Rattus norvegicus: one gene and its partners. The protein of the gene in region 1 interacts with the protein of each later gene in a pairwise test. Links are inferred from orthologs where the notes say so. Each region holds a gene or a part of one and is shown in the gene's direction. Other genes may lie near its edges. The genes, in order: Rtn4, Snx15, Cert1, Syt16, Spg21 and Rtn3.

Region 1 (3,500 bases):
CCAGTATCTTACACTATTGAAAAGAAATGTTCTAAATAGTTTTTGCTTAAGTGGGAAAACTATTCTGTCTGTATTCAATATAATAATGTAGAAAAAAACATTGTTTGGGAGTATAAAAGAGTGGTAGATTATAGTGGGAACTTAGGATTCATAGCTGATGAGTCTTCATGTCTGGGTGGGGTCTGAGGTGAGGCTAGTTCATGTATAAGTTGTCACCAGAGGAAGAAGTGACCTATGCTTTAGGAAAATAGCATGATGACCAAGGCATTAAGGTTAAAACATGATGCATGACTTATTTCCAGCTTTAATATAGGGAGCAGTGGAAAGGTGAGCAAAATTAGATGTGCTCTCTGTTGGAATCAGAGTAACACAGTGCTTGAACTGGGCATGATTCTTCATGGAGTCGGAAACTTGACCCAGAGAATTGAAATGCTGTTTTGAAAGATTATTTAGCTAGAAAATAGCCATCTTCTAATACCCACCTGAGCTCAACCCAGACTCTGCTATTTTAGGAAGCTCAGATAGGCTAATCTGGTGTTGATGAAGGGAATAGATTAGCTAGATTAGAAACAGGCTTGCACACTGATAAGAGTATCTCAGTGTGCAAATAATAATAGAGACTTAACAACAGTGATTGAAGACACACTTGGGCATACTGCAAAGGTAGGAGTATGAGACAGGGTTTTCTCCAAGGACACAGTGTGAGAAAATAGGATTAGTTTAGGCATGGTAATAATCAAATGATCATCCCTGAATTATTATCTTCTTAAATTTAACACTTCCTGCACACTACAGTGTTTATTTTCATGAGAACATGAAAATAGAGAGTAAATACCCTTATTGGTATTGGTACTATACTTTTAGCAGCTATTTTACATGCTAGTATTTAACATTTCTGACTTTTTCCATAAAGAGAATATGGAAATGAGTAGGAATTTTGGTAGCAGAACCTAATTAAGACTCAGAAAATAATTTTCTGAGAGATTTTTAGACAGAGTGGTTGTTAAACATTTTACTCATTAAATCCTCATTACATCCATTTTAAATGAGGAAGCAACTTTAGAAGATTAAGTTTGCAAATTTAGATTACTAAGAAAATGATAGCAGTTAAGATTTAAAATGCCTTTAAAGCACACTTCTTAGCTTGGGAATTTTGGCTTTGTTTTATTTTGTTTGAGATATTTCTGTAGCGCAGGTTGGTTTTGAGCTAGTAACGATCCTTTTGTCTTAGCCTCTTAAGTGCTGGGATTATAAGCATGAGCCAGCAAGCACAGCCAGTGTACTTTGGACTTTTATAATTACAGTAGGCCTTTTATAGTAGATTGTTATAGAATATTAATCTCCTTTTATTGATATGCAATTGCTGATTAACATGTGGGAATCAGTGTCAGTTGTGGTCTGTTTTTTTTTTTTTTTTTTTTTTTAGGGCATATTTAGAATCTGAAGTTGCTATATCAGAGGAATTGGTTCAGAAATACAGTAATTCTGCTCTTGGTCATGTGAACAGCACAATAAAAGAACTGAGGCGGCTTTTCTTAGTTGATGATTTAGTTGATTCCCTGAAGGTAAGTTTATTTTACCTTTCATATATATATATATATATATATATATATATATATATATATATACACACACACACACACACACACACACACACATATCAGAAAGATTAGCAATATGATTGCCTGACATTTTCTTACTTGGATATTAGAGTGTTGCTCTTTGTAGAATTGGTGGTTGTAGGCACCCAAGAGATCTCCTTAACCTAACCTGCGGTAAATGTGCTTACTAGTGTTTGAATACCTTGAGTTCAAAACCTACTCATAGTAAGCATTCAGTTGTTTTTTTGTTAGGTGTCTGAGTACATGGAAATTATTTTCTTTAGATCAAGAGTAGGGAACTAGCAGTGAAGGAGGCAAGGCACAGTTCAAGCAGTGAAGGTTTTTCAGTTTGCTGTGTCCACCAACAGTGAATCTAACCCATGGAGGCCCAACAGAGTGCTGAGGTGTAAGCTTCTGCCAAATGAGTGTAACTGTGGTGTGACACTGGAGTCTGCTTGGCGTGGTCTTCACAGGGCAGAGTGTTGTGCTGGTTTGCCGTCTGCTGTTCCTTCTTCAGCTCTGCCACGCCCTGGATCTCAGAGGACTCTTAGATGAGAGTAGCTTCCTGCTTTCAGTCTCTGCTATGGAGATGTCCTGTCTGCAGAATCCTCAGCCCCTCCCTTGTGGTTATGTCACCTAGAGGGGGTTGGGTCCTGGACTCTTGTCCACCTTCTCTCTGACCTAGTCTTTGGCTCTGTCTACCCTGCCCTCAGTTACTGTCCTAAGCTTGCCTGGGTGTGGGTCTCTGGGTTCCCAGCTGAATAGAGGGAAGCTAGTCCTTTCCTTGACAAAGGGGAAAGTTCATACTTCTCCTTCACTCTCTCCCCCAGCCATTGTCAGGGAGACCATTCATGTTTCTAAGTGCATTTACTTATTTTCTATTGAAACCAGTTGGTAGGGAAAGTTCACAGCCTGGGATCTAAGAGTGGTGGCTTCCATTTATAGCAATAAATAAACAAAAAATTATATGAGAGACCCTTGGGGGCATTAACGGCAAAATGTTTATTATGTGGTTTTGTGGAAATTTTCCAATTCTAGCTTTAGTTAATGGAGGCGCTTACAAGCTTTACTCTTTAGCACTGTTGTTTCATATACCTAAATAATCACCATAGGGGGTGGGAAGATGGCTCAGTGGTTAAAAGGTCTTGCAGAGGATCTGAGTTCAATTCCCAGGACCCCTGTGACAGCTAACAACTGTATAACTCCAGTTCCCCGGGATCTGAACCCCTCTATGGGCACTAAGCATACACAGAAGCAAAATACTCATGCCCATAATTTCAGGTCACCATAGATGCGGTACGTGGTACTGTGTTGTCACCTCCTAAGTAGGCCACAGCAGTTGCCAGACACAGCAGCTTTGCATTAGAAGGTCTAGCAGTGCAGGAGTTCTCTTTGGAAAGGAGGAAAGGGATGTATTACCTGCAGGTGTGAAGGAAAGCAGGGAGTTAAAGTGCACAGAATGGTCGTTGGGTACACTCCATTTGCACCATGAAGCGTAAGCAGAAGACAGAAAAGAACCTATCTGTATAATAAATATATTATCGTCAATGTTTTATATAGAACTCTGCCCCTCAAAGTATCCAGCATTTTTGTCATTACCGAAAGTACTGACTATGAGTATTGAGTACAATTTAGACCAACTTTGTGCTTCTCTTGAACATGTCAGTGAGCTGTGTGATATCATAAGCTTTAGAAGTGAAAGAAAACTTTATAATCTTGTCAAACTATTCATGAGTGTACATGAGTATATGTGTTATGTATATTATATACTATATAACAAAGCATACTTATTATAATTATTATAATCTCTGGTCCCTAGAAGAAACAATGAAACCTGTATTGCTGTACTTGGACACCAGGCAACTTAGTAAACTTTCTGTGCTTCAGTTTCTATGTGCT
Region 2 (3,927 bases), on another chromosome or scaffold:
AATAGAATGAGGGTCTCTAAGCCCACACCCACAGTGACACACCTACTCCAACAGAGCCAAATCTTCTAATAGTGCTACTCTCTGGTCCAAGCATATGCAAACCATAACAAATGGTTTGGGGTCTTTTTGGTTGGTTGGTTTTTGTTTTTTCCCCTCAAAACAGAGATCCACCTAAAAACATGATTCACCACCACAGCCAGATTTCCTCAAATTTTTTAATGGTTCTTTTTTTCACTTTTTTCATTTGAAGATGGGATTTCTGGTGGTGGGGGAATGTGCTGGAATCTATGTTTAGGAATAACACTGTTGATACACCTTCCTCAGCAATTTGGCCTTGCCCTAGTGTTGGGTTTTCACCATACTTGTGTTCTGCCAGCATGCCTCTTGATCTAATCTGTTACAGAAGATACAACGACAAGTACTCCTTTCCATAGAGGAATAAACCAGGTGCATGCAGTCATGGGAGGGAAATGTGATGCTTATCTGTGACCTCAGCATTTGGGAGGTGGAAAATGAAGGATCAAAAATTCAAGGCTAGCCTCAACTACAATAGTGAGTCTGAGGCCAACCTGGGCTACATGAGATCCTCTCAATCTCCCACCTCCCCAAATCTGAAGCAGTTAAGGGGAATTCAAATAGCTGCAAGTGTTGTGATTTCAGAGACTCTGTCACTGTTCAGCATTTTCAGCATCAGAATATGTCAGTTCCCCAGCTATTCTGGCACAGAGATGCAGGGAACTTAACTTGGCTCTGCCAGGCACATTTTGAACACAATGAAAATTGCATGGGTTAGGCCCTATGCCAAGCACCTTAAATTCCAGATACTCAGGAGGCTTCGGTAGGATATTTTAAGCCCAGAAATTGATCCACACAGCAGAGACCATAGCTCAAAATAATTCATAAATAAGAGAATAAGGGAGACGTTTTGGAGGTCTGTAAGGTGAGCTTAATCACATGCCACAATGCCAGCTGGTAAATCCTCTCCTAAACAACCAATCCTTAATCTCTACCTACAACTCCGCTTTACCAATGACCTAGAACTTGTCAGACACTCCCTTAGCCACGCCCCCAAGCCAAGAACGGCTGTGTCACTTGTGACTGGTCCCTAGGCCTGAAGAAGGGCGCAGGCCGGATCCTGGCGGTGGCAGCAGGCTCAACACGCGGAGCGGGGGCGACGTGCAGTAGGAGGAGCCGGCGGCCAGCTCCGCTGTCATGTCGCGCCGGGCGAAGAAGGATGACTTCCTGCGACACTACACAGTTTCGGACCCCAGGACCCACCCCAAGGGTTACACCGAGTACAAAGTAACTGCTCAGGTGAGGTGGGACCCAGCGGGGAACATTACCCTTTTAAGCAGTTCGGGACCCGTGCTGTACCTTAAAGGTAAGGAGCTCCGGGGAGGTCGCGGTTTGGCCTACACAAATGGATTTCCCCTTTAAGAGGAGTCTGAGGCAGAAGACTTAAGGAGCCTCACCGCCTGGGGCGGGGCTAAGGGTCATTTTTAAACTCCGGAGCAGTGCTCTGCGCCCAGCCAGGCACCCCCCCCCCCCCCCGCCCTGTTGATGATGGTGTCTAGATGCGGTCTACGAATTTCTCAAAGAAAAAAAATTCCGGATTAACTCAATATTCCTCTTTAATCTCTTAGAGTAACTTTTGGTAATTTTTCCTGCTTGATACGTAAACACACACACACACACACCCGCCTTTTTATTTATTTATTTTTTTCTTTTTCTGAGACAACCCTGGCTGTCCTGAACTCACTATGTAAACTAGACTGGTCCTGAAGTCACCGAGACCCGCCTGCAACTGCTGCCTGAGTGCTGGGATTAAAGGCTTGCACCATCATGTCCGACTAAAAAAGCTCTTTAAAAAATTTATATATAGGGGTTGGGGATTTAGCTCAGTGGTATAGCAAGCGCAAGGCCTGGGTTCGGTCCCCAGCTCCGAAAAAAAGAAAAGAAAAAATATATATATATATATATAATGTATTTTATACATTTATTATATATACAGTATACAATATTTGTGTGGTTTTAAAAACGTAATTCAAAAAGACTGCTCTTCACAGATAAGGAAGTCAAGGTGGAATTGGTGTCTAACAATAAAACTTAAAATGAGCTTGTAGAAACATCAGCAGGAAAGAATGCTTTTAGAATTTTACCCATGGGTGCGTAACTATGGAGGGTCTACAGCAGAAGAAATCGGGTTGCTGCCTGAAGGCTGACTATACGTTTTCTTATACTTAAATTTTTTTCAACTAGGCAACTGTTTGATTAGTGCTCTTGTCAACTGTTAAAAGGAAGCAAACACGTAAAAATCGCTCCCAAATCAATGTAAGCCAGAATTTTAGATACCTCAAGAGTGTGGGTATGCCCAATGCCTTGCTTTTTTCCAATGCCAAAAAAATACAAATATAGTAATTGTCTCTAGGAAGATGGCCAGAGGGTAGAAAGGATGAAAAAACATTCATAACCCTTTCTTATATGTCTTCCTGTGAGCATTTTAGACCTAGTCACATGCCTTACACATGCTTACAGTTTTTCCTTTTTTTCAGTGCTAGGGTTGAACTCAGGGCCTCCCACATACTAGAAGTGCTTCTTTCTTTTCTTCTTCTTCTTCTTCTTCTTCTTCTTCTTCTTCTTCTTCTTCTTCTTCTTCTTCTTCTTCTTCTTCTTCTTCTTCTTCTCTTCCTCCTCTTCCTCCTCCTCTTCTTCTTCCTCCTCCTCCTCCTCCTCTTTTTCTTCTCTCTCTCTCTCTCTCTCTCTCTCTCTCTCTCTCTTTCTCTCTCTTTCTCTCTCTCTCTCACCTGACACAGCATCCAATGGGATGATCCTTTTACTTTATAGATTTATTTACTTAATTTTGTTTTCTTTTTTTCCGAGACATGGTTTTTCTGTTAGCCCTGGTTGTCCTGGAACTTGTGCTATAGATCAAACTCGAACTCACAGAGCTCCACCTGCCTCTACCTCCCCAGTGCAGCCTCCCTAGGGATTAAAAGTGTGTGCCACCCCACCTGGCTTATTTACTTAAAAATTAAAATGTAGTTGGTTTAAAAAAAAAAAAAAACAGGGGTTGGGGATTTAGCTCAGTGGTAGAGCACTTGCCTAGCATGCGCAAGGCCCTGGGTTCGGTCCCCAGCTCCGAAAAAAAAAAAAAAAGAAAAACAAAACAAAACAAAACAAGGGGTTGGGAATTTAGCTCAGTGGTAGAGCGCTTGCCTAGCAAGTGCAAGCCCTGGGTTCGGTCCCCAGCTCTGAAAAAAAGAAAAGAAAAAACAACAACAACAACAAAAACAAAACAAAGAGGGGTTGGGGATTTAGCTCAGTGGTAGAGCGCTTGCCTAGGAAGCGCAAGGCCCTGGGTTCAGTCCCCAGCTCCGAAAAAAAAGAACCAAAAAAAAAAAAAAAAAACCAAACATGCATGTTTTATCTGCATGTATCAGTGCGCTATCCATGCAATACCCAAGGAGGCCAGCAGAGGGCGGTAGATCCCTATGGATTGGAATTATAGGCCACTGTGTGCCTTCCTGTTGGTGCTGGGAATAGAACTTCTGTCCTCTAGAAAGCAGCCAGTGTTCTTAACCTCTGAGTCATCAATCTAGTCCAGATTTATTTACTTTTATTTTAATGAATGTTTTGTCTGTACTTATGTATATGCACCAATACAAGCCTCATAGGCTCGGAGGTTAGAAAAACATTGAATTGCCTGGGATTGGACTTTTTTAGAAATTATTTCTATCTGCCATCTGCATGCCGAGAACCAAACCTGGGTCCTCAGCCACAGCAGTGAGTGCTTCTAACTGCTGAATCATCACTGTAGTGCCCCCCCCCCATTTGTTTGTGTGTATCACAACTGTGCTTGTATGCCTGTGGAGGTCAGAGGAAGGTACAACAGATCTGATGCCCTGCAGCTGGAATTACAAAAGGTTG
Region 3 (3,955 bases), on another chromosome or scaffold:
AGTACATCTCAGGGTTACTGCCTATCATTACGTAGAGTGTAGGACTCTTCTATTGCTCCCAGAGTTTTTTGTTTGTTTCATAATCATTGTGCCTTAACACCCGAAACACTCAAAATTTCCTCTTACTTTCCCATCTGGGTAGCAAGCAGAAATTCTTTTTTACAATTTAATAAGGAAATTCAAAGTTGTAAATTATCAGTAATTTGATAGCTATCTATTGTCTAATTCCTTATTATTTAGTAAAACTCGCGTTTTGATCTTAATGATAGAAAGTTTCTATTCAAACTTTCCTGTCTTTCGGGAAGGAAGAAGATGGTTAACTCAGGGTCTCCGGGGGAGATACTTGCTTACAACTAAGAGAAAACTTCAGGATATAATAATATCCTTATATCTGCTTTTAAAAAGTTCTTTAAACGTCATTTGTTCTCTGACAATCTCAACATTATTTTCCACAAGATAAAAATTCTATAAATTAACAAAGCGAAAATAGCCTGAAGGAATTCTTCCTTTGACAGCAGTAAACCTCAAGTATTAAATCTATTTCCGAAGACACAGACAGTAGTCCTTCGGAATTAGCAGTGACGGTTTTAGAGAGGAAAAAAAAATCTTCAGTTTGCGATTGGAGAGATCATAAACTCCTAACCTGAGTAAAGCGACTGAGCCTCTATCATTTTTTGACCAGGCAAGTTGCAAAGATGTTCCCGGGCTTTCCGGAAAGCAGCGTCTCACCACCCAACATCCTCACCTGAGGGTTCTCACGTCCCGATTCGCAGGCTCGTCATAAACACGCAAGGCAGAATCGGAAGCCAGGCTGGACCGAAGGGGCACACAACTGTCAAAAGAAGCCCACTTGCTCTCAGAAGGTTCCCCTAGGCAACCAGTCTTTCGCGCGCCCAGGACACACACACTAGTTGCCTAGGATTGCGACTACAACTCCCAGGAGGCTGCGCGGCGGACAGAGCGCCGGCCTTCCCAGAATGCAGCGCAGCAGTTTCCCTGTTCAGCTCTCTCCTTTCCCCGCTCCGCCTCCTTCCCTACCCGTCGTCACTCGGGAGGGCCGGAGGTAGGGAGCGTCGAGAGCCACCGGGAGGGGCCCGGGGCGGGGTGGAGGGAGGATGGGAGGACGGAGGGGAGGGAGCTGAGAGAGGAGGGAGGGTAAATAGTGGACCCGGCAGGAAGATGGCGGCTGTAGCGGAGGTGTGAGTGGATCTGGGTCTCTGCTGTTGGCTTGGCTCTTCCCGTCTTCCTCCCCCTCCTCCCTCCCTGACTGAGGTTGGCATCTAGGGGGCCGAGTTCAGGTGGCGGCGCCGGGCGCAGCGCAGGGGTCACGGCCACGGCGGCTGACGGCTGGAAGGGCAGGCTTTCTTCGCCGCTCGTCCTCCTTCCCTGGTCCGCTCGGTGTCAGGCGCGGCGGCGGCGGCGCAGCGGGCGCGCTTCGTCCCTCTTCCTGTTCCCTCACTCCCCGGAGCGGGCACTCTTGGCTGTGCCATCCCCCGACCCTTCACCCCAGGGACTAGGCGCCTGCACTGGCGCAGCTCGCGGAGCGGGGGCCGGTCTCCTGCTCGGCTGTCGCGTCTCCATGTCGGATAACCAGAGCTGGAACTCGTCGGGCTCGGAGGAGGATCCGGAGACAGAGTCCGGGCCGCCTGTGGAGCGCTGCGGAGTCCTCAGCAAGGTGAGCAGCCCGTGGGGCCACGGATCCACTGCCTGGACTCACCTGCCGCGAGACGAGGGGAGCTGCTCGGGACCTGGGGTGGGGCTGGACCGGGAGGCACGGACTGTCCCGGGGCGGGGGCTGCGGAATGTGCTGGGGTGCGGGGCCGAAAGGTCGTTTTGGAATGAGTGCCTCGCCAGGGATGGGATAGGAGGTGCTTGGGACTGTCCTTACTCCTAGACCCCCTAATCTCTGGATCTTGTCAGCTTTGGTCGAGGACCTTGGAAAGCTTGTGTTAAATCTACGATCTAGTTTGGAAGGCAAGGTGCATCTGGTAACTTGGAACCTAAGGCCGCAGCTGTCTGGGGTGTAGGAATCTGGGTTGGGCAGGCGTGGTGTCTGAAGAAGTACTGGACACGGGGACAGTTAAATCGACCTTTAAAACTATCTTTTGGAGCCCCCCCCCCACACACACACCAGAATGGGGGGAGGGGTGTTCAGCTCTAATGGGTGTAATTTAGGCAAACCAGTTGATTGGCTTTGGCCTTGAAATCTGAGATCGTAAACTTCGAGGTGTGAGTGATCTTTGGTGTAGAAAGTGTGTGCGGCACTTCTGTACTTTGCCCCTCCTTGTCCAAGTTCAGAAAGGAGCTATTGAATTGGCACGCTGTGGATAAGAAATATTAATAGTAAGTTGAAACGTGTCAGAGTGAAGACCGACCTTTAGTTCAGGAAAAGGAGCATTTTTTTTTTTTTTTTAGTAATTCAGTATTTGTGCAGAAAAGAAAGACATTTTTTGTTGTTTTGTTTTATTTTCCCTCTGTACTTTTAAAAACTCTTCAATTTTCTTTCTTCTTTTCTTTCTTTTTTTTTTAAAGCCTAGAGTGCATTTATAGGGTTGAAAATGAGTGATCTTGTTAATATTTCACAGTGTGTTGTATTTTACGTTTTTGTTGTGGGGAGACCCAGTTAGTCTTTTTGACTTCCCTGTCCTTTTCTGTTAAACTTTAAGAAATGCTTAGAGCAAGCAGTTAGTTTCCAGAGGGAGAGTCGGGGCTGGTCCCTTAGCAAGCTGGTCATAAGATACCAAGTCATGTGCTAATGGCCATTAAGAAATCATTGTACTTCTAATATTCTTGAACATCACTTCTGGAATTGTCTGAAATTTAGGCTATTACATAGTCTTTAGCTGAAAGGGCCTGGGATAGACTTAAGAATACAAGGCTTCCAAGTGTTAACTTATTTACATAGTAGAAAATTATGTTGTATTAAATACTGTGATTATTTTTGAAATTTTAATGTAATGCTTTAAGTAAAGTGAAGCTCTCCAGTGTTTATTTAGATTTAATGCATCTTTATAATTTAAGACTCTGTATTGAACATGATGTGTACTACGTTTGCATTTTCAAATGGGTTCTTTGTCTCTCTTGATTGTGATAGTTTCCTTGTCTTCAGATGAGAGCCAGAATGCCATATTAGTATTTTGTTCAAGAATTTTATGGAGCAAACTTTACTTTTGACTTGTCTGTTTCTTTGAGACAGGGTTACTCTGTCGAGCCATAGCTGTCCTAGAACTCACTTTGTAGATCAGTCTAGCCTTGAGCTTACATAGATCCACCTGCCTCTGCCTCTGCCTCTCCCTCTCGCCTCTCTGCTTCTCTGCCTCTCTGCCTCTCTGCCTCTCTGCCTCTCTGCCTCTCTGCCTCTCTGCCTCTCTGCCTCTCTGCCTCTCTGCCTCTCTGCCTCTCTGCCTCTCTGCCTCTCTGCCCCTCTGCCTCTCCTCTGCTTCTCTGCCTCTCTGCCTCTCTGCTTCTCTACCTCTCTGCCTCCCTAGTGCTGGGATTAAAAGTGTGGGCTCCTGATGCCTGCCTTACTTTTGACTTGCTGATCATCACTGTTTGGATGTTGAAGAATTGGAATGGTGAAAAAAATCATATGCTCTGTTATCTGTTGTACAGAGCAGGGTGTGACATATAGTGTGACTCTGAACCTGGGACACGGCAGAGTTGGGTTCACTTAATCCTAGCACCCAGGATGCTGAAACAGGAGGATTGTGAGTAACCAACCTACCTATCTAGTAAAGCCTTTGTCTCCCAAAATCATTTTTGAAAGAAGGATTCTATTTGGCTATGCCCGTGAATTTTGACTATTCTGTATATATACAACCAACAGTAGTAAAATCTTACCAATGGTTGTAAAGAAAAATGTCCTGAAATTTATGGGAGGCAGAAGCAAGTGGATATCTGAATTCCAGGCCAGCGTGTGTATGTGTGTGTGTGTGTGTGTGTGTGTGTGTGAGAG
Region 4 (3,500 bases), on another chromosome or scaffold:
GGTTGTTGCTGTACAGCTGCAGACTCGCAGACTCGCAGGCTCATTCCCATTGTGGGTCTGTTGACAGCTTTTCCCTGGAACAGTTTGAGGAGTGGAGAGCCCTGTTTCTGAGACAGAGAAGTGTTTTCACACCTGAAGTGCAATCTCACACCTTGTGTTTCTCAGCAGATAAGTGCATAAAATAACACATCAACCCGGAATAGAAAAAAGATCAACGTACAAAGAGAGCCCTAGGTTGTAATTCGCTTCCTACCTCACAATGCTCTGAGAGGAAATTACAGAGATCTGGGTTTACGCTTTTGAAAAGTTTGACTGCTGGTTAGCTGGGGAAGCGAGCTGCAAGCACAAGGCTTCTGCCTGCACTGAACACAGAATACAGACTGAGGCAACTTAGACAACACCTAAACATTTGATTCAATTTTTTTTTAACAGTATCATGCATCTAAGTTAGAAGCAAAGCTTTCTGTTATAAGTCCAAAAATTATCAATGAAGTGATTTTAATAACATATATTTGTGGGGATAATTTTCTTTGCAACGAGTTATTCAGAAATTTTAGCCAAAGGAGATGAAGTTAATAAAATTTGGATGCTTTCTTTTCCTTTTGGCAACTAAAAGTAGAAATTAGTCAGTACTTCATAGTATTTTAGTTTAGGGGTCTTAAAATGGGTGGTTTTGCTTGAGTTTCTTGTTTGAAAATAAGAGAAGATCAAAAGAAAAAAAAAGGTTTAACTCTCTGTCTGGTGATGAATATTCATCATAAAATTGTTGTTGAAAGTCTAGCCTTCTCCCCACCCCCATCAGGTACTAGGCCAGGCATGGGGGTTCTGGGCCAAGTGAGGCAACCCTTCCTTCTCTTTTCCTTTGAGGGACTGGCAGCTTGCAGACAAGAAACCGCACAGTGATGACCCATGCTGGGGTAGGGTCAAACAAGGTGCTAGTGGAGATGGAGTCAGCAGGGATTCTGGAGAAAGTATTGTACAAATCCAACTGTGATGGGAGACGTTAGGGGAGGTGCTTGGCCTCTGGGATATCAGGATACTGGCAGAGTGCATGAAGCTTGTGGCCAGAGTTCCAACATGAGATGGTCTGGAGAATGGGTAGACTACATGGTGACTAAGAAAAGAAGATACACTTCAGCCAAGACATAAAACAATAATTTGACTGTAGAAGAATGTCCCACACATGGAGAAAAGAATGCATACCCGATACACAAATCATGACTTTCTCTGAGTTCACACGGCTCTTATGGCACATGTGCCTGGGCAACTCCATGCATACTCAGTACAAAGAGAGGTTCTAATGAACTTCAGCAGTGTGCCAGACGGTGAGCTGTACGAAACAACAGACGTAAGACAGTGAATTTTCCTTAATAACCTATGTGAGATGTGGTGGTTCAGCAGCAAAGACCAGTGGAGAAATTTGAAGTCAATGTAAAGATTACAACTTATTGCAAAGCCCTGATAGTTTCTCATCCTTCTCTTGTCTGCTTTTCCTGTAGATACATATGGAAAACTCTTCCTCCTCAACTGTGTGGGTCAAGAGATGTCCCGCTGCAAGACGTCCATTCGGCGTGGCCAGCCCAACCCCGTCTATAAAGAGACCTTCGTCTTCCAGGTGGCCCTCTTCCAGCTCTCGGATGTTACCTTGATGATTTCCATTTATAGCAGACGCACAATGAAGCGTAAAGAGATGATTGGCTGGATTGCTCTGGGCCAGAACAGCAGTGGGGAGGAGGAGCAGGAGCACTGGGACGAAATGAAGGACAGCAAAAGCCAGCAGATCTGCAGGTGGCATACGCTGTTGGAATCCTAGGTTTATCAACAGCGTTCCCGTGCTACGTCAGCCTTGCTTACCTAACACCAAGTCAGATCATGGCAGGTGGAGGAGCTTTCAAATGGAGAATTTTACTAATCTTGGGTCATTCCGTGGTGTGGAACCATCTCAAAGGTTCGATCTGAGTTTAAATGTTGTCGTGAAAGGAAACCTACATACACAGTATGGGCAATGGTATCTAGTTGAGACCACTGGCTATATCACAACTTGTGCTAATGGATGATTGTGTTTTGGTTCGTACTATGTGGTTCAGCTTCCTCCTGCTGTCTCTTTTTGCTGGGAGAATAGCCTGAGATTTCAAAGGAGCTGTAAACATTACTGTTTTCCATCACTGAGGTGTATGAATCAGACTCTTCTCAGTGTTCAAAATTCCAAAACAGAAATGAATCAGATGCTGAGCGTTACGGAAGGACGTAACCCACCACAGTCCTCTGCCACCCCTATTCTCTTTATGGAAAAAAAAAGCCCTGTTTATTTAAAAGGTAATTGCTATAAATTTGTGGTGTAAAATAAATTTGTATTCATGAAATGTCTCTTTTTATCTCAATTAGATATCACGATTTCTAAAAGAATTGGGGTAGACAAATCATCTTAAAGCTCTAAAGCAGTTAAAAAAAATGACTGTTATCTGACCTGTCTCTTTTTGAATATTTAAGATTTCCAAAGTCAAGGATTTTTGTGCTTTCTTATCAAATTGGTACCCAGAGAAGAAGAGGAAAACCTAGGAGATAATTTAAGCCTTGGCTTTCTTGATGTTTCAGAACCTGTCATTCATTTGGATTAGACCTTTTCTATAGATAATTGTACTAACTCTCACATGTATTTTTTTAATGTACTTCTGCATGCCAACCACATTTGTCTTTATGCTATGTACCTTACTAATAGAACATAGAAAGATGCATACAGTGGATCTCAATAAATACTAATTTGATTGACTTTCGCGAGTGAACATGTGAAATCTTCTGAGTGAAGGAATATTGTCATTTGGTGTGGAGTAACACTGAATCCTTGGGTCATTTAAAGGACCCAGCACTGATATTTCTTACATGTGCAACAAAATGTATGAGTGAATTCTTGTCTGTGGGCACATCGTTTAGTCCCCAGCACCGGCCTAGCATGGGTTTGGGCATGAGGCTTTGCTTATGAGTGGCTCGCACACAGTTATGCAGCCACTTTAATTGTCTTTATTCCCAGCTCTGAGATCTGAATCTCGGTGTCTTTTACCTGGAAGTGATGAGGTGGGAAGGAATCCACCCTTAACCCTGTGCTCACCATTACAGTTTCTCCGAGCAAGGTCCCAGCCATTTCCTTTTAAATTTTTCTATTTTCTTGTTGACTTCTGTCCTGTCTTTGGGAAGAGTGCTAGCTAGTGACGGACGGATGCATGCTGTCAGAGCCACATAGCTTCCCCCACAGCGCTACATTTTGACAGATTGTAAGCGTAGGCTGCAGTACTTGAAGAACGTATTTATTCCTTACACTTCATAATGGTTATCCCGACAAGACCAGACAAGGGCCCAGGATAACTCGACTAGATCACAGGGATCAGAGTTTGGGAAGAAAACAGTTTTATATGGAGGGGTAAGAATTTGCAGAATAAACTAGTATCACAAGGTCTTTTCAGGCCCATTGGGTGGGTTTCTCCCACTTTCCTTGGGAAGACCTC
Region 5 (4,041 bases), on another chromosome or scaffold:
CATGGGGCCAGATGAGGGCGTTGATTCCCCTAGAACTAGAGTTACAGGCAGTTGTGGGCTGCCCTGTGGGTGCTGGGACCCTAACCAGAGTCCTCCAGAAGAGCAGCCAGTGCTCTTAGCTCCAAGCCATCTCTCTAGACCAGGATTTCATTGTTTTTGAAGTTGGCATTCTTGTGATTACTTACTATTAATATTTCATTAACTGGCTACATATGAGAGGCAAGAGACATTTGGCAACAGATCTACAGCTGAGGTCTTAAGGAGTTGGAATTAGAATTTTACTTTCCAGATGGGGATGGGGGGGGGGGCTTGCACATGCTAGGCAAGCATTGTACCACACAGCTGCACGCCCAGCCTCTCTGATTGGAGTTGGACATGACCAGGAACAGCAGTAGGAGGCAATTTCTGGCACTCAGGAACATGGGGTGACACTTTTGTACTGAACTAAGAATGCCTGAGATTTCAGCCTTGTGTGTCTTCAAAGGTGTTTGACCAGAGTGCACTGTCAATGGAAGCCAAGGAAGAAATGTACAAACTGTACCCTAATGCCCGGAGAGCTCACCTTAAGACAGGAGGCAATTTCCCCTATCTGTGCAGGAGTGCAGAGGTCAATCTTTATGTGCAGGTAAGTCCAGCCTGGGCCCAGAACATGTGAGCTTTAGAGACCCCTAGTGCTCCTTAACGGTGCTCCACTAGATCAGCCCTGCATCACACACTGTGGTGCAAGTGGCCCTTAGTATGGTGGCCCTTGCCTCCTGGAGACAGGGAATGCAGCCAGAGCAAGACACCACATCCAAATGGAGCCCTCCAAGTCTCAGAAAATGACTTCTTGATCTGATTGCACACTAATGGCAAAAGTAAAACACCTCATTTTCTCAAGAGATTACTAGATGGGGTGACAAGTGGCTGCCTTGATAATCTGGCGAGAAGCATCAGGCGCCTTCCCAGTGAGCGAGCCTCATCTTTAAGGCTCTCCACTACTGCAGAAGTAGATTCTAAGGAGGCAGTCCTAACCATAGAGAAACCGATGCCCAGAGACGCCCATCATGCCGTTAGCCACAGTAGCGAAGACTGGAAAGACCGCACTGAATGTCCACAGTTGGAGCGTCATTGGGCTGTTTAAGATGTGTATGAAGGGGGTTGGTAGAGCGCTTACCTAGGAAGCGCAAAGCCCTGGGTTCGGTCCCCAGCTCCGAAGGAAAAAAAAAAAAAAAAGATGTGTATGAAGGGCTGGCCAGATGGCTTCGTGATTAAGAGCAGGTGCTTCTGTGCACAGGATTAGGTTTGATTCCCAACACGCACATGATGGCTTACTACCACCTGTAACCCCAATTCCAAGAGATCCGGCACCTTCAACCTCTACAGGCACCAGGCACACGTGAGCAAAACATGCAAAGAACTTTTAAGAAAAGAAAAAAAGGTTTATGAAGGGCTGCAAAGATGGGGCTGTGCAAGAATGAGAACTGTAGTTCAGACGCCCAGAGTCACATAAATGCCTGCTGAGCCTCTAGGCTGGGAAGGTGGACTCCGAGGACTCCCGAGAGCAAGCTGACTATCAGGGGGCTGGAGAGATGGCTCAACAGCTAAGAGCACGGGCTGCTCTTCCAGAGACCTAGGTTCAGTTCCCAGCTCCCACTTGGCAGCTCAAAATGAAATTCTAGATCCAGGGGATCCAGCATCTTCTTCTGGCCTCCAAGTGCACATTATATGCATATGATGCATAGGCCTATGTGTGTAGGCAAATCTCCTCTACACATTTTTTGGTTGCTGGGAATTGAACTCAGGACCTCTGGAAGAGCAGTCAGTGCTCTTAGCCTCTGAGTCATCTCTCCAGCCCTCTACATTTTTAAACAAAGGATTGACCATGTTAGAGAGCTCTGGATTTGATTGATACCTGCCTTCCTCGATGATTAAGATGAAGAGTGATCAACCGTGGGTCTCTACACGCACATACACACGAGCCCACACACGAGCCCACACACATGCGCCCTCAAATGCACATATGCACAAACATGGGAGTTAATGTGGGTGGAGGGCAGTGTCCATGAACACTTGGCAAGAGAAGCTGCTTTGACACAACAGTTTGAGGGCAATGGTCCCAGCGATTCTTTGGTCAGCACAGTGGTGAACACTTACAATCATAGCACTTTGAGCTGACACGGGATTGCTCTAAGTTCAAGGCCAGTCTGAGCTACATAGTGAGACCCATGTTGTTTCTTTGCTGGCTTTTCTCTAGTGTAAATTCTCCCACCATGCTTGTTACTGGCACACTACACCTTCTGCTCTGTGACAGTCGTTGACAAATGAAGGTGCTGGGTATTCTTCAGTGGTAAAGTGTTTGTTTGCTATGTGACGAGGAAGGCCTGACCTCAGTTCACACCATCCAAAGCGGGTGTGATGGCATAACCCGGGGAGGGACAGACAGGCAGACCCTGGGGCCGGCTAGCCTGCCAGCCTATCCCACTTGCCAAGCTTGATGCCACTGAGAGACTGTCTCCAAGGCCAGGTGGAGGGCCATGATGGCTCAGCGAGTGAAAGAACTGCCACCAAAGCCGACAATCAGTTCAGTGCAGGACACTTCAGAGGACACAGTTAGCTCCACAGCCTCTCTGTCTTCCACACATACACACGCCAAGTAAGTTGTGACTTCTTAAAGGAGCCCTAAGGGGGCTCACAACCATCAGTAACAGGGACCCGATGCCCTGTTCTGGTGAACAAGAAGACAGTACTCACTGAAGGGGGCAGGAGCCCTAAGGAGTGACACCAGTGCTGCTCTCTGGCCTCTGTGATTTCAGAAAGATTCAGCACTGGGATGGGGGCCGCACGGTGGTGGAGCCCTTGTATGGAACTCTGAAGCCTTGCTTCAATCCCAGCACCATAAAACAAAGCCCTAATAACCAAAGCCATCTGCTCTTTCCAGATACATTTGCTGCAGTTCCATGGAACCAAGTACGCTGCCATCGACCCGTCGGTGGTCAGTGCAGAGGAGCTGGACGTGCAGAAGGGCCAGCTCGACCTCAGCCAGGAGGAGCCATAGAAGGGCCCAACAGCGAGCCACCCTGCTCCTGCACAATCAGTTCAGGTCCATCGGGCACACTGGTTCTCACTCTTCTGGAAGTAGGACTGATTGTCAATCTCATGACAGGCGTCAGCCCTTCTAGGCCAGTGTGACTGTCCCCTCTCCACGTTTATTTTTGCTTTAAACTTTTGAATTTGAAGAACTTTTAAAGACTCCCATTTTAAGAATTGTGAAAATTTTGCTACCAAAAGTCTTCTCCACACTGTGTTCATCTCGAAGGCTTGGGGTCGGTCATGTGACATTTTTCTTTTCCTGCTTTGTAAGACTGCTGCACCTCCGGGTTGGAAGAGGAACACGGTCATTTTTATGTTTTCTTGAGCATAACCAGAGTATCGAGGCTGGCAGCTTGCTGGCCACTCCCTACACATCAGCTCTTTTAGTTTCCAGTTGAGCACACCATTTTGAGTATTAGCTGTTGTATTTCTAGACATTACATTTGGAATAAAAATTGAATTTCAGCCAGCGGCTCCTGTGTTGAGTGTTGCTGCCCCTCTGGGCTGCTGGCCAGTGCGATGTGAGGTGAGCTGCTCCATTGCTCTAGTGAGGCACAGCTGGCTGTTACCTGCTGACTGCCACACACTTTTCATCTTCCCACAAATGGGGCTTGTTAGAGTCTTATTTAGGATAGGCTGGCCTTGAACTCATTATGAGCCAAGGCTAGCCTAGAGCTCCTTATCCTCCTGCCTCCCTCTCCCAAGTGCTAGGATGACAGATGTTAGCCTGAAAGATCACCTGATAGAGATGTTTTTATACATATGGAGAATACATTTTAATGTATTTAATGGAGAAAATAATAACCTGTCTCCAGCTCTTCATCCAACATAGAAACCTTCCAGACTCTGTATAGCCCTCACTTTCCACACACCTTCCTTCCCTGGATGACCATGAAGCTGTTTTGATTCGATAGCGTTTCTGTGTATACTTTCAAGAGATAAGGTGGGGTATTTGAGAAGCTGGGAGAT
Region 6 (3,500 bases), on another chromosome or scaffold:
CCCATAGCCTTAACAGGTCTGACATTGTTCAGAAGTCAAGTCCTGAGCCACCTCGGAAGCTCAAGGAGACTCTTACTGTGATGCACTGTGTGATTGGGTTAAAATGGCCAGTAGCCAGGAGATTCGATAGCAGGCTGAGCTTTTCAATACTCCAGAACATCAGGCAATTTGCATCTCTTTGTTGAATCAAAAAAACATCTGCTGCCTTTCTAAATCAAGAACAACTTGAGTCAAGCTGCTTACTTTTCTTTCTCAGGTTATGAGGACTATGACAAGGGATCTATAGAGCCAGTATGTTCTGAATTGTTCAGCTTACAAAGGAAGGCATAGCAGCATGTCATAAGCATAAGCAAGCTGTTTTGTATAGATTACATTGCTCCTATTGAATAAGAACCCCCTCAAAAGAAAAGAAAAACTCCCCAAATCTCTCAGTATCATCACCCCTTTATTATGCAGGGAGGGAAAAGTAAACCAATTAAAAAATATTTGTCCTGAATATGTTTTGTCATTCACAATTTATAGCATGATACTGGCTTTTGTTTTATTGTTGGCAGTTTTATGCATGTTTTGTAAGACAACCATTGATCTTTGCTCTGTTATATACTTGTGTGTTTATGCATCTGTTTATATACATGCTGTTATGTGTGCGCGCGCGTGTGTTCATATGATTTTTAAAAATAAAAAGCATGCTGCTTGGCCTGACTAGCTAATGTGTGTACTTGCACCTGGTAAATGATCTTTTTCCTTTCAAATTCTGACCATAGTGGGATTGAGCTCTCTTTGCTCTGATGAGCCACCATCAAAAATTATGACTTCCTCCTTTCTTTCATCTTCTGAAATATATAACCCTGACCCTACAACACCACTTGGAAGTGAAACATTAGGCAGCCATCTTGTAGCTAAAGACGGAAAAGATCCCTTGGTTCTTCTAGATAAGAAAACTCTGGACTCACCTCAGGGGACCAACAAGGACAGAGTAGACACTCCGGTTTCTCTTGCAGCTGACATTCCTTGCAGCCACCCTTCTATTCCAGACAGTTTCCCAGAACAACCTACTTTTCTTTCAAAGGAAACTGATCCAACAGAAGAGTGGGTAGTTAAAAACCAAGAACCCAAGAACCCAAGTGAAGTTCCAAGTGGAGAGGACAGAAGTGCACTGGATCTTGGGCAGCGTAAGGCAGAACACATTTGTACACATTCCTTGTCTCCATCTGAACCTGCAGTAGCCAGTGTAGAAAAAGATTCTCCTGAGTCACCATTTGAAGTAATTATTGACAAAGCAACATTTGACAGAGAATTTAAAGATTTGTATAAGGAAAGCACAGATGATTTGGGTGGCTGGGCAGCTCACGGTGACAGAGAATCCCCAGCAGATTTATTGGAAATGAATGACAAAGTGTTTCCACTGAGAAATAAAGAGGCAGGGCGTTACCCATCCTCTGCACTGCTCGGTAGACAATTCTCACACACTACAGCAGCACTGGAAGAAGTGTCTAGATGTGTGAATGATATGCATAACTTTACTAATGAAATACTGACTTGGGACTTAGATCCCCAAGCAAAACAACAGGCGGACAAATCACCTTGCACCACAGAAAGTACAGGACTAGACAGGAGTGAACATCGCTCAGAAATTCCAGTTATAAATCTTAAAACAAGCCCTCAACAGAAAATGCCTGTATGTTCTTTTAATGGGAGCACTCCCATTACTAGATCCACAGGTGACTGGACAGAAACATTTACAGAAGGAAAACCTGTAAAAGGCTACCTCAGCTCCACAAAAGAAGCTGGTGGCAAAGGTGTACCAGACAGTTCTCAGCCTATCTCAGGCTCTGGAGCAGCCACAGTGGAAGTGACTTTACCTGACCTGAGGGGTACCTGGCCTAACTCTGTGCTAGGGGAAGTCACAGAGGTTGATAGTTCTGGGGAATCTGATGACACAGTAATAGAGGACACCACAGAAAATCCCTCAGTTAAGAACAACAAAGTTTTGCCAGAAAAATCTGACTCCCTTCCAAGTGCTGCTGTAAAAACAAGTGAAAGGGAAAACAAAGAGACTACCAGTCATGAAACTGTGAGGAGTGAAATGTATGAAAACTCTGAGCAGCAGCAGGCCCATGCAGAAACTCCTACTCAGAGGAGTCTGGAAGGTCAGATGTCTCCACAAGTACCTAATATGCTGAATGAAGTCATACCTGAAAATCTTGCTATGACTGACACAACCAGAGTTTGCTCAGCAGCACCTCCAAGTGTTCTTAGTGAGACTGGATTCTCACTAACTGTGCCAGCTTCTGCCAAGTCAGAATCTTTGCTTGGAAAAAATGTTGAAGATACAGATGGTTCCTCTCCAGAGGACTTGATGGCTGCCCTCACAGGAACTGAGGAGAAGGGGACAGTGGATAAAGAGAAAGGTGATGTTTTGGAAGCAGTGTTAGAGAAGATAGCAAACGTTAAAAACACTTTGCCTGTGGAACTCTTGCATGAAAATAAGCTAAGTAGTTCTGAAACCAAAAATACTAAAAGCAAATACAGTGAACACAGCAGAGAAACAAATGGAGGTGCCCCCAAGGTGTCTTCCGACTTAGAGCAGGAGCAGCTCACCATTAGAGCCATTAAAGAATTAGGGGCTAAGCAGGTGCAGGCTGAAAGAATGTCTCCTGGAGGAAAACTCAAGCGAACCTTTGATCCACAGTCTGGGCCACAGAATTCATCTGACATCCTAGAACACACAGATATCACAACTGGATCTGATCTTGGGATTCCCAAAAAGCCTACTATCATCAAAGACACTAGAATAGATTCTATTTCCAGCCTTACCAAGACTGAAACAGTTAACAAGCATGTTCTAGCAAGACTTCTCAGTGATTTCCCAGGTAACCATTTACAACAGAAATTCTGCATGTGGCTAATACTGCTGTGATTATAAAGTTTCTGTTCTATTTTGAAGTCCTTTCTTTATAAGTAGTCTGAGTATGGCTATTGCCTTTTAAGAATATCACCACATGCTTATTTACCATTTTTGTGATTTTGCTGCTGTTTGTTTTGAGATAAGTTTGCCTCAAGCTGGCCTGGAACTCTCTATCTTGCCCAGGCTATTGTTGAGCTCATAGTACTCCTGCTTCAGCCTCTGAAGTGCTGAGATTACAGGCCCAGTCTGTATTCTTACTTATTTTCAAAGTTCAGTTTTTTAAATAGGGGACTTGTAAATTTTAATTAGTTATCAAAGATAAAAGAATTCCTGCCGGGAAACTCAGTAAATGTAACTTTTAATTAATTTGCTGTATTCCACAGAGGGTTTATGCTTTGAAAGTAGGTGATCATTATGACAGTGCTCTTTTGGAGTAATACTTCAGAGAGACTCATTCATTCTCATACTTCAGACCTACTGAACAGTCTGCGGACAACAGGACATTCAACAGTACCAGAATCTTTTTTATTTGGAATGGTCTCTTTCCTAGCAGATAGCTTGCAGTAAAATGGTTTTGAATGCTGTTTATCTT

Evidence for each region.
Region 2: the proteins of Rtn4 (region 1) and Snx15 interact in binary tests that used the Homo sapiens proteins (3 or more experiments, as listed by UniProt). The two-hybrid records come from large-scale screens. The link is inferred for Rattus norvegicus from reciprocal best matches to the Homo sapiens genes RTN4 and SNX15.
Region 3: the proteins of Rtn4 (region 1) and Cert1 interact in binary tests that used the Homo sapiens proteins (3 or more experiments, as listed by UniProt). The link is inferred for Rattus norvegicus from reciprocal best matches to the Homo sapiens genes RTN4 and CERT1.
Region 4: the proteins of Rtn4 (region 1) and Syt16 interact in binary tests that used the Homo sapiens proteins (3 or more experiments, as listed by UniProt). The link is inferred for Rattus norvegicus from reciprocal best matches to the Homo sapiens genes RTN4 and SYT16.
Region 5: the proteins of Rtn4 (region 1) and Spg21 interact in a two-hybrid assay, tested with the Homo sapiens proteins (2 studies listed by BioGRID and IntAct). The two-hybrid records come from large-scale screens. The link is inferred for Rattus norvegicus from reciprocal best matches to the Homo sapiens genes RTN4 and SPG21.
Region 6: the proteins of Rtn4 (region 1) and Rtn3 interact in binary tests that used the Homo sapiens proteins (3 or more experiments, as listed by UniProt). The link is inferred for Rattus norvegicus from reciprocal best matches to the Homo sapiens genes RTN4 and RTN3.

Annotation. Positions count from the first base shown.
Region 1 is NC_086032.1:107,692,617-107,696,116, forward strand, and holds part of Rtn4 (reticulon-4), read left to right. Parts: intron 1-1,426; coding exon 1,427-1,565; intron 1,566-1,618; exon of another isoform or gene 1,619-3,020; intron 3,021-3,500. UniProt on the Homo sapiens protein: Required to induce the formation and stabilization of endoplasmic reticulum (ER) tubules. They regulate membrane morphogenesis in the ER by promoting tubular ER production.
Region 2 is NC_086019.1:212,852,651-212,856,577, reverse strand, and holds the start of Snx15 (sorting nexin-15), read left to right. Parts: upstream 1-1,127; 5' UTR 1,128-1,212; coding exon 1,213-1,314; exon of another isoform or gene 1,315-3,927. UniProt on the Homo sapiens protein: May be involved in several stages of intracellular trafficking. Overexpression of SNX15 disrupts the normal trafficking of proteins from the plasma membrane to recycling endosomes or the TGN.
Region 3 is NC_086020.1:29,616,047-29,620,001, forward strand, and holds the start of Cert1 (ceramide transfer protein), read left to right. Parts: upstream 1-1,155; 5' UTR 1,156-1,579; coding exon 1,580-1,675; intron 1,676-3,955. UniProt on the Homo sapiens protein: Shelters ceramides and diacylglycerol lipids inside its START domain and mediates the intracellular trafficking of ceramides and diacylglycerol lipids in a non-vesicular manner.
Region 4 is NC_086024.1:98,705,167-98,708,666, forward strand, and holds part of Syt16 (synaptotagmin-16), read left to right. Parts: intron 1-1,499; coding exon 1,500-1,813; 3' UTR 1,814-3,500. UniProt on the Homo sapiens protein: May be involved in the trafficking and exocytosis of secretory vesicles in non-neuronal tissues. Is Ca(2+)-independent.
Region 5 is NC_086026.1:74,900,136-74,904,176, forward strand, and holds the end of Spg21 (maspardin), read left to right. Parts: intron 1-484; coding exon 485-625; intron 626-2,920; coding exon 2,921-3,037; 3' UTR 3,038-3,541; downstream 3,542-4,041. UniProt on the Homo sapiens protein: May play a role as a negative regulatory factor in CD4-dependent T-cell activation.
Region 6 is NC_086019.1:214,070,861-214,074,360, reverse strand, and holds part of Rtn3 (reticulon-3), read left to right. Parts: intron 1-764; coding exon 765-2,873; intron 2,874-3,500. UniProt on the Homo sapiens protein: May be involved in membrane trafficking in the early secretory pathway. Inhibits BACE1 activity and amyloid precursor protein processing. May induce caspase-8 cascade and apoptosis.